Nothobranchius furzeri: one gene and its partners. The protein of the gene in region 2 binds, or shares a complex with, the protein of the main gene of each other region. Links are inferred from orthologs where the notes say so. Each region holds a gene or a part of one and is shown on either strand. Other genes may lie near its edges. The genes, in order: immt, MICOS complex subunit MIC26 and micos13.

Region 1 (3,652 bases), on a different chromosome or scaffold from region 2:
GGGCCAGAACAGGATTAATGTGCTCCCTCCTTCTGGTGTCCGTCAAAAGGCGGGCCGCCGCATTCTGCACCAGCTGTAGGCGCGCAACCGAGGAAGATGTAGATCCATAAAGAAGGGAATTTGCATAATCAAAGCCAGAGATCACAAATGTATGGATCACTGTGTGCCGGTCATGTCTAGTCAGGATGGATTTCATCTTTGGTAGCCGGCGAAACTGGAAAAAGCAGGATCTAACCACCTGGCTAACCTCACTTGATCTGCTACTCGCTAGCGTTAGCTAATCTACCCGTAGTTCCACTTTTAATCCTAGATTTTGGACCGTTTCTGCCTTTGTGTCTTTTCTGGTTTCTGTTTTCCTCCACAGCACCTGTTAGCACGTTGTGCACCAGTAAAAGGCATCTTCTTTACACGATAGCAAGCAACGTACCTTTGTTCAATAAAGTTCTGGGGGGGGGGGGGGGGGGGAGTAGCTTGAAAAGATGTCGCACGAGTGCTACGTGTAAAAATAGTTTAATGCACACAGATTTTTTTTTTCATCGCACCTGCGACATATATGTCCCCCTCGCTCTGATCTGCCTCGGCCTGCTCTGCTGCTGCATACAGATGATCGTTGCCAGCGCATTTGCAGCCGCGGTGTCCATTACTGAACAGAAGCAGCCGGAGCAGTCTTGCTTTTGGGACTCTCGGACTCTGATTTTGTATCGTGCTTTGCTGTGTCTGCCAGCACTGTGTGTGTGTGTGTGTGTGTGTCTGATTCTATCTGCCAATTGGACGCTCCCCCTAATGGCACGCGTGATTTTGAGCTGGCCAATCAACCGGCGGTGGGTTTGTCAGCCTTGTTCGGTTCCAGGCAGACCGCCTTGGGAAGAGGGGTTGTGTGCAGGAATGAGAACAGCCCTAACCCGGTCCAGGCGGGGTGGAGCTGATGCTAGTGTGTAAGGGCCATTAGTGTCTCATCAGGGACTGGGTGGGTCTGTCTTTACATAACTCAGTAAGCGCACACACCAACCCGCTGTGCCTGTAATGTGTGTGTTCATGCAGAAGCGTCAGCAGAGGCGACTCAGATCATCTCGGCCATCAGTGAGGTCCCATCAGTTCCTGCTACGTGTGACTCAGAGGCAGCTGCAGGTACGTTCTCCTCCCCTCTGGAAGCTCTGACCTGGTGCTGGCCTGTAGGCCTTGGGTTGGACCTACTGGTGTCTGAATAAAGTCCAGCCTCCTCCAGGCCCAGGGTTCTACCTAGCAGGGCATAAAGCCTAATCTGGTCTCCACCAGGTTCTAAATGGTTCCATCCCAGTGTAGAAAACCACCTTCAGAGTCACCGGGTGGTCACGTGATGTCCAGGTCGTCTGTGCACAGGAGACCGTGGTTATGGAGACAGGGTGTGCTTCAGCCATGCAGACGTTTGGGTCACATGATGGAGGTGATGGTGGCTCAGGGGTTAGGAGTTTGTCCTGTAACCAGTGGGTTGTCGGTTTGAACCCAGGCTCTGTCCAGGTCATTGTTTGTGGTTTTAGCAGACACGTTCGTCCAAAGCGACTTACAGCTGTGGCTACAGTGTAGATCACCACCATCAGTGTGAGTGTCTGTTTAAAAAACATGAACTAGGTTCATATGATGCTGCTTCGTGTGTGTGTGTGTGTGTGTGTGTGTGTGTGTGTGTGTGTCCTACAGACGAGTGTAAGGAGTGTCACAAACACGCTGATGTTTCAGAGACGGCAGCAGTCGCGTCAGCAGAGCCTCTAAAGGAACGTCCAGTTGATGAGGTCACTGCTAGACTGGTCCAGCAAGACCAGGAGGAAGAGAAGCTTCTGGCCTGTGAGCGGATAACCACACACACACACACACACGCACACACACACATTAATGAAGCTTCCCTGGTTTAGAAGCGTGGTAGTCTGCAGCATCGGGGGTTTATGCTTGAAGCTTTAAGAGGTTTCTGAGCCTGCTGTTGTTTTTGCAGCCCTTTCATCTCGTCTGGAGGACTCTCTAGCCTCCTCTGCTAAGGCCACGCTGCAGGCTATTGGAGCTCAGGAGGTGGCTCTGCAGGCTGTCACCCAGCACACACGCAAGCTGAAGGACGCCATGGAGGCAGAGGTGGGTCAACCTGAGGATACCTGTGGTTCTAGGTGTGTGTGTGTGTGTGTGTGTGTGCGCGCGCACGTATGTGTGTGTGCGCGCGCTCGCAGGATGACAAGTCGGGCTAGAGCAGAGGTGTCCTGTTGTCTTTAAGACAAAAGACAAAATGGTAAAGTTAACCGTGCCCAAGGGCAAAGAAAAATGTGTCTTCCTTCTATTGAAATGATGAAGAGGCAGCAGCTGTCGATCATCAGGAGGTGGACTCCAAACAGAACATGTACGATAACTCCTGAAGTGAGATTTACAAACGGAACAGGACGTTCCATCTGTGACGCCGGGCTCTTCCGCTGGTTGCTCTTCCTGTCCGCGGAGGACGGAGCGGTATGTGCAGCCAGGCGAGTGATGTTCGGAGGAGCTGTCTGATGGGTGAGTTTAGGCTGGGGTCCTCAACTAAACCTGAGTTTTCTCCAGCAGACACCGTGAGGGCAAGACGCTCTTCTAAAATACACTTTAAGTATTATTGTTTGTTGTAATTTATTAATATTTAAAACGGCTTTGTTTCTGGACCAGCTCTGCACCCTTACGGGGTCCAGGAGGGTGCGTGGGAGCTCGCCCGACTAATCTACGAGTTTTGCTGTTAGGTCTGTGTGACCGGTGTCGGAGCTTGCCGGCAGTAAGTCGGGCTCGTTTCCAGTGAGAGTTGGACTCTGTCAGGGCTGCCTTTTGTCACCGATTCTGTTCATAACTGTTATAGATGGGACTTCTAGGTGCAGCCAAGGTGTTGAGGCGATCCGTTTTGGTGGCCTGAGGATCGGGTTTCTGCTTTTGGCAGACGTGGTCCTGTTGGCTTCATCAGAACGTGATCTCCAGCTTTTGCTGAGCGGTTCTTAACTGAGTGTGAAGCAGCTGGGATGACAATCAGCTCCTCTAAATTCGAGACCATGGTCTTGAATCGGAAAAGGGTAGAATGACAGCAGCAGCTCAGGAAGTACAGCGGGTTGTCCAGTAATGGGAAGGTTGCGGGTTCAATCCCGGCTCCGACCAGAGAATGCTGCTGTTGTGTCCTCCTTGGGCAAGACACTTAACCCGCCTTGCCTACTGGTGGTGGTCGGAGGGGTTGGTGGCGCTAGTGCTCGGCAGTCTCGCCTCTGTCAGAGCGCCCCAGGGCAGCTGTGGCTACATTGTAGCTCACCCCCACCAGTGTGTGAATGTGTGTGTGACTGATTGTGTTGTGAAGCGCCTTGGGGGGTTGCAGAAACCTAAGTAGGTGCTATACAAATACAGACAATTTACCATTCTCCGGGTCGGGGATGAGGTCCAGCCCCAAGTGGAGGAGTTTAAGTATCTCAAGTTCACGAATGAGGGCAAACTGGATCAGGAGATCGATAGGTGGGTAGGTGCTGCATCTGCGGTGATGTGGGCATTGTACCGCTCTGTCATGGTGAAGAGAGAGCTGAGTCAGAAGGCAAATTTATCTCTATTTACTGGTCTTTCTACGTTCCTACACTCACCTATGGTCATGAGCTTTGGGTAGTGACCGAAAGAACAAAATGGTGGATACAAACAGCCGAAA
Region 2 (3,342 bases):
TTTAAAAATAAACTATTATTTACACCTTTATACTAATTAATTTAGTGTTTTAAGTCATTGTAGAAAACGTTTAGTTGGTGTTGATTAAAACGCTGATCATGGCTGTAAGATTAAGGTTGGTTTGTCTCAGTCAGGAAAAGTGACAGCAGATAACAGCGTGGGCCGCTTCCTCATGGACCTGGTCAACAAGGTGCCGACCATCTCAGCTGAGGACTTTGAGAACATGCTTAATTCCAACATCAACGTAAGAGATCCTCAACTGTACTGACTTCAGTTAGACCTTGCATTTGCCTTACCTCTATTGTCCCTTTGCATTACTGTAAATATGTTGCTTATTCTGGTGTAATCATGTAAATACTGTCATTGCTGCAGGACCTGCTGATGGTGACCTACCTGTCCAACCTGACCCAAGCACAGATTGCCCTAAACGAGAAGCTGGTGCTGCTCTGAGGACATTTCTGTAGATCATATTTAATTTTTTTTTTTAATTTTGGCCGAGAGAAATAAAGATGTTACCAGTCATTTATTTGTTTTCATTGGCACTGCCTTAGGTGAGTTTGTGACAACAAAACATGCAAAATGGGAACTAGTATTCAAAAGAATGATCATTTATTCATTTAAAACATGTTGCTTGTTTTACAGCTCATGGTTTTGGGATTTCCAAGATGTAGTTTAACTTATCAAAAACAATCATAAGTCAGGTTCCTATTACAGAACCAGAACAGCTTTCGTTTTCTTTGGTCTCTACTCAAACTTCACAAAGCAAACCAGAAAAATGTGTTAAAACCTGATTTTTAATCAAAGCCCCACAGATTCATTTTTTACTTAAATATACAATCAGAGGTTAATTATTCAAGTAGCAGGTCCAGTATGTGACAGGGCATGGCCGGCCTGAGTAACAGCAAAGTGCAGAGAGGGACTCTAACCCTAGCCCTAAAGCCAGTCCTGTCACCACCAGGCTGGTATTGCTGAGCAGCTGAACATAAGCCTACGGGTTGCGTTTAGATTTGTCCCCGTTTGCATCCTTGCTTTGAGGGTTTTTCAGGATCTTCTCTAGCGCAGCGTAGCTCCGCACCGCGCTGTCGTAGACGGAGTCTCCGGTTGACTTTGCGATGGCTGCCGCCTGCTCTGGGTAGTAAAGGGAGGCGCTTACGGCCATGAAACCCGCCGGGTAGAGGAGCTTCTTCACCCTGGAGCCTCTGGCCAGAAACAAGCCGAGCATTCCGGCAAAGCCGATGATTCCCGCCCGAGGATAGAAGTCCTTCGGAGGTTTCTGCAGACAAGCGTAGGCGTCACTCCCGAACTGGACGACCTTCTGAACTTTGGGTTTAATTTTGTCGAAGGTGCCCGAACACCAAGCCGAGTATGGCTCTGCTAGCTTCCTGAAGGTGGCGACACGCTCCTCCAGCTGCCCGGCTTCGGGCTCCGCATACCGACGGTTCTGCTGAGGAGCCGCGTACAGAGACAGTTCGTCCAGGCTCAACGGCGCCGTTGTCTCCTTTTCTCCGCCACCGGCAGCCCCAGCAGCAAAAACGGTGAAAGGTGGCAGTTGAGGCGCTCCCGGCATGGCTCTCTGTCTGTCACCTTGAACAAGGCCATGCATTCACTACGGCAACTGCGGAGGGGCATTACACGTGACGCCTTCTTGAGAAATTTGACGAACCGCGAAACTTTCAAATGTAACATCAGGTATATACATAAAATGAAATTATTCAATTGGGAAAATTATAGCCAACATTAAATAGCATTTTTACGCAGCTGTAGTCACAATAGCAAATACAGGATATAGAAATCCCCATCTCCCCGTTTCTTGAAGTGTCTGGTGGTTGCCAGGGCAACCGGATAGCCTCGTCGCCAGAAACCGTCAACACTGACCTCTCAAACGTCCGTTTAGCCGGTTATAAGCTGAAGTTCTAAACTAAGTTTGTTATATAAGCATTTGCATTTGTAGATGTTGTGGTTTGAGGTGTTTTTTTGAAAGGATTTAAGCTTTCCCAATGGCGTATCTTGGAGGATCATCTGCGCAGGACCTACTGGCTCTGTCTGCACTGTTATCCAAACAGGAGGAGGAAGATGAAAACTATAAAGTAAAAGTTTAAAATTCACAACCGTTTTGTAGTAATTCATACCGACTGTACTAACTGCCTGCATAATTCTTATATTTAGATTTGAGCTAAAATACTAGAAATTATATTTTCACCAGAATGCGGATGCCTGTGCACAGCTTGGCCCTGGACACATCGGACCTCCGCCAAAAACAGATGAAGGTGAGTTGTTTACTTGTAGTTCTCTACATTTATTCTGAATTATAGCAGTACACAAACTATTTCAGCCTGTTTTGCTGTTTAGCTTCAAGTTCCAACATGAAGAACTGCAAAGCAATCTGGAGTGAAGAAGAGGTGGCTGAGGGGGCCCATTATGATGATGTGGTAGATCCACGGCCTCAACCAGAGTAAGACAATAGTAATAGTTGGATAGGGAGGGTGGGTGAAGCATTTTTCTAACACACAATGGCAGAGTGGCTGGGATAAAGCTGGGGTTGAACCTGGTCTACCTCCTGGACCACCGAATTTAAAGAAGGCAGGCCCTTTCTTCATTTGATGGGACATTTTGAGAACAAGAAAGGCAGTTTTGTTATGTCTGTGTGCAGATATGAAATTATCCTGAAGCAGAATGTGGGAACCGAGGACCTGTTCTTAGGATTAAGCAGGAAGAATCCATCGTCCATGTGCTGTGAGGCAATGCAGGTATGTCATCAAACTTCTATTTGACAGAAGAAATCAAAATGCACAAAGGCTATGACATTCAGTTTCTTCATAAATACTTTTCTCCCACATTCAGGTGAAAATCAAACTACCAGACACTAAAGCAACAGATGTCTTTTTAGATCTTAAAGAAACGTTTCTTGATCTGCGAACACCAAAATAGTAAGAGATCATTTGAAAATGTTCACTTTCATTTTCCGGTGACTGAGCAGCTGCAGTTCAGTCTTGAAGCTCCCCTGTCTAGGTATTTGATTAAAGGTGTGAAACACTGAAATTTTTTTAATCTTATTTCTGATTATAACTCTAAGATTTTCATGCAGGCTGAACATAAAAATAGTCTCCTACACCAATCTCCTGCTTTAGCTTCTGATAGAAAACAGTTGAAATGACTAGAAAATCCTGACAGCTCTACGTCACACGGTCACTTATCATTGACGCACTCGCATATCTTGTCTTATGACGGGGAAGGCTGTTGTTGGTTCAACACCCAGGAAACAGCAGAGAACGTCTTGGCTAGTAGAAGCTAACTGTTAGCATGAGCAACTACACCACACAGCAGAAGCTCCTCCAGGCTTTT
Region 3 (3,341 bases), on a different chromosome or scaffold from region 2:
ATGTGCATGAAGGAAACAAAGACAGTGCTGCAATACATTCAGATTATATTTAATCTGTAAAAATTTGTTTAAATCCCAATAATGTTGCTTGTGACTATTTTCATTTAGAAAAATTTCTCCCTAAAATCTGAGTCTCTTGTGAACAAATCATTAAGACACCTATAATTAAGAACTAAATGTATTTTCACAATCTGATGAGCTAACAAATTTGTAGTAAGTTGTCTTACAAAAAGCTCTTTTTCCAGTTGATGCTAAATGTGTGTTGACCTCACAATCTTTTAATTTATTGCATCTTTGAGAAAACATTTTGTTTATGTTATTTTATCACCTTAACAGTGCCTGAAGGTTTTGAAAATGTTTGATGTGCTAGAAACAATTCTGTACATGCATTCAAAACAAAGGTTAACACTGAGCGTCATTGCTAGTTGTGCTTTTGTCAAAAATACTTCATGCTTCCATTTTCGCTCCTTGTTCCAAAATTGTAGCAGACTGACTGCCCATGTCATAATATTCTGTTGTAATAAACATTTTTGCACATTAGTTTGGTTCTTCACTTTGAACACAGCTATAATCAGCACACTGTAAATTAAGTTTAACTAAATAAACCAAACAAGCCTGAGAATGTTTTCAGAATGATTTTATTGCAAATAGTGAGATTGCACGCATACATACATACACACACACAGCAGAAATTAACTTTTTTTTACATTATTTTGGACAGTTTGACATCTGGGTGGTATCCAACTCTACTGGACAACTGAAATAAACCAAAGTTCTGCTTTATGTACAGTATCCTTCCAACAACTCTCAACAAAACAGCCGAGATCTCTTTTGCAGCTGAATTTAAATAAGCTGTTTTGTTCAGGAAAGGGGACGACTTAAGGATTTACAAGTGCAAAAGTCAAGTGAATAGATAAATGAGGTTACTCAGAAAGTTCTTGTTCATTTGATGAGGTCTTTTGCGTACTGCACTCCCTGACTTGCGTATTCAGATGCTTTAGTTGGAGCCTCTGAGAGGCTTGAAATTGTCCACCGCACCCCTGTGATAGAAGAAATAACTGTTGTTAAAGAATACTTGATTCCAAATGAAATGATCACTGAAACTGGATAATATTCTAAGGTTTTTGTTGGTAAATTCACTTTATTAAAGAAAAAGTCCTGCTGTACCTGAGCCATTGCAATATTGCAATTAACCCTCTGAGGGACTAATAAAGGTATTCTTATTCTTACTAGGTTCTTACCAGAATTCCATGCTTCAACAGGGGAAATTTCAATTTTAGGTATGGCTGGAACCTGAGCCTAGGAACAGAGGAAAGAAGAAAAAAATGATGTACACAATTAAACATAAGGCTTAATTTCACATATGATGCATCGCCCACAAAGTCTTGTGCAGAGGCTGTAGCTGGAATTCAGTTTCTACAGTTTAAACATGTCAAAATGTGTGTGATCGCCTAAAAGTGTAATTTCATCTCTACCTCCAGACCAAAATACTTCATCCATTCCTCGATGGCGGGTGGTATAGCAGCTCTGGCCTTCTCCAGAGCCTCTGAGCCCTGTTCGCTGGTTCCCAGCAGACCCGAGTCACAGGCGACGTAAACAGCGCCTCCTGCAATGGTCACCTTGGTGGCCAGTCTGCAAATGAAAGATCAGCCACACCGTAAGCCAAAACCACCCAGCCACGTAACATTTACCACACTCAAAAGCACCACCTTAAAATTAAAACATTGCTTATTAAGTAATAAAGCAGGGAGATCTTAAATTCTGCGTTGATCAAGCAATATCAGCAACTCAACAAAACATTCATGAAAAATCGCATATGAAGCAATATTTGATTGGATCCTCGGCGACAATTTAGTTAGTAAAGTATCGGAAAATAACAGCTTGAAATCTCAATACAGTAAACGGATAAATGCCGTAGCATGCTAGCTCACAAGCTAATCAAGCATTCAGGTCACTTACCACTAAAACTTAAACGAAACTTAACAGTGAATTAAAATATACGAACTTGAGTAAAGGCAAAATCCTTGCCGCCATGGTCCACAGCTGTGTAACTTCTCTTTATAAGCTGTTTTTACCAAGACTCCAAACAGCGAATCTAACTTCACCGCTAGGCTGCACCATCGACATAGGGCTGCACTGAAGGACATTGCAGCGTTAGCTCTGTTTTTGTCAATAAAGTTGTTTTTTGAAACCCCAACGCTTTTTTCTCAGCGGCAGATTCGTTCTTTTCTATCCCACTTTATTCCTTTTGTAAAATTGTATGTAAGCAAAATGAAAATAAAAATGGTGTGCAGGTTAAATATAAATGTTCTTTTTAAGTTACTATAAGAAATGTTACATATTTAAATATGTTATAATTTGATCTCGGGAGAAGCGCAAAATAGAGAGAGTGAGTGAGTGAGTGAGAGAGAGAGGGGGGATGTTACATAAATGGCACCTCCTTCACATCATGAAAGTGAAGGCAGACTTTTATAACACAGCTAGGAAGTTTTCTGAGACTTATAGCGAGTTTACACACATGGGACCATTTGCAAAAATCCTGATAGGGAGCATTTCTGTAGCTTATTTTGCTGTCAAATGGACTGCGCCAAGTTTTGATCCAGGTAAATTTAAGAATAATTGTAAAAACGTCATTTGGTGTGGATTTTAAAACCAGTAATGTTTGGTGTGGGTTTTTTTTTGGGGGGGGGGGGGGGGGGGCATTTTTTAACCAACTTCAGAGTGCAGTAATGTCTTTTTTAATGCATGTTATGTGTTCACAAGAACTGTAAACATTTTCTACATAGGTAATTAGTTTCTCCTAATGTTAACCTAAAGTGAGGTTACAGAAACTAGGAATATTTAACACAATATAAGGATTAAAATATCTTGTTTGGAACTTTTTTGGACAATTACGGTTTAATTCTGTTTGGACAAGCAAATATGTTCTTGTCTGACCATCTGGAGGGATACATTAAACATCTAAATGTATTTCTCCTATTACCTAACCTATTGTATATCCAAATGAATATATTATTTAGACTACAAAATCTAGTCTTGAACCCTCCCACAGTGCACAGGGTACATTAAGCCCCAGGAAGACTGGTGGATGGGATTCAAATACATCCATACATCAATTTTCAACCGCTTATCCGTGGTCGGATCGCGGGGGAACCAGCCTAAGCCGAGAGGCCCAGACTTCCCTCTTCCCAGCTACTTGGGCCAGCTGCTCCAGGGGAATCCCAAGGTGTTCCTTGGCCAGCCAAGAGACATAGTCCTTCCAATGTGTCCTGGGTATTCCCTTTAGATCTCCTCCCAGTTGGACGTGACTGGAAAATCTCACCAGGGAGGCATCCAGGAGG

Evidence for each region.
Region 1: MICOS complex subunit MIC26 (region 2) and immt share a complex: the UniProt entries of both Homo sapiens proteins name them as parts of the mitochondrial contact site and cristae organizing system (MICOS) complex. The link is inferred for Nothobranchius furzeri from reciprocal best matches to the Homo sapiens genes APOO and IMMT.
Region 3: MICOS complex subunit MIC26 (region 2) and micos13 share a complex: the UniProt entries of both Homo sapiens proteins name them as parts of the mitochondrial contact site and cristae organizing system (MICOS) complex. The link is inferred for Nothobranchius furzeri from reciprocal best matches to the Homo sapiens genes APOO and MICOS13.

What each region holds. Positions count from the first base shown.
Region 1 is NC_091741.1:108,913,598-108,917,249, forward strand, and holds part of immt (MICOS complex subunit MIC60), read left to right. Parts: intron 1-1,041; coding exon 1,042-1,128; intron 1,129-1,674; coding exon 1,675-1,818; intron 1,819-1,963; coding exon 1,964-2,097; intron 2,098-3,652. UniProt on the Homo sapiens protein: Component of the MICOS complex, a large protein complex of the mitochondrial inner membrane that plays crucial roles in the maintenance of crista junctions, inner membrane architecture, and formation of contact sites to the outer membrane.
Region 2 is NC_091751.1:40,247,708-40,251,049, forward strand, and holds MICOS complex subunit MIC26, read right to left. Parts: upstream 1,802-3,342; 5' UTR 1,604-1,801; coding exon 989-1,603; 3' UTR 588-988; downstream 1-587. Other genes in the region: eif3f (eukaryotic translation initiation factor 3 subunit F), read left to right, coding at 131-244, 373-450; dnaaf6 (dynein axonemal assembly factor 6), read left to right, coding at 1,998-2,087, 2,204-2,267, 2,350-2,452, 2,651-2,747, 2,842-2,927. UniProt on the Homo sapiens protein: Component of the MICOS complex, a large protein complex of the mitochondrial inner membrane that plays crucial roles in the maintenance of crista junctions, inner membrane architecture, and formation of contact sites to the outer membrane.
Region 3 is NC_091748.1:50,418,206-50,421,546, forward strand, and holds micos13 (MICOS complex subunit MIC13), read right to left. Parts: upstream 2,166-3,341; 5' UTR 2,035-2,165; coding exon 2,006-2,034; intron 1,633-2,005; coding exon 1,476-1,632; intron 1,300-1,475; coding exon 1,242-1,299; intron 1,041-1,241; coding exon 943-1,040; 3' UTR 623-942; downstream 1-622. Other genes in the region: hsd11b1la (hydroxysteroid 11-beta-dehydrogenase 1-like protein), read left to right, coding at 2,450-2,603. UniProt on the Homo sapiens protein: Component of the MICOS complex, a large protein complex of the mitochondrial inner membrane that plays crucial roles in the maintenance of crista junctions, inner membrane architecture, and formation of contact sites to the outer membrane.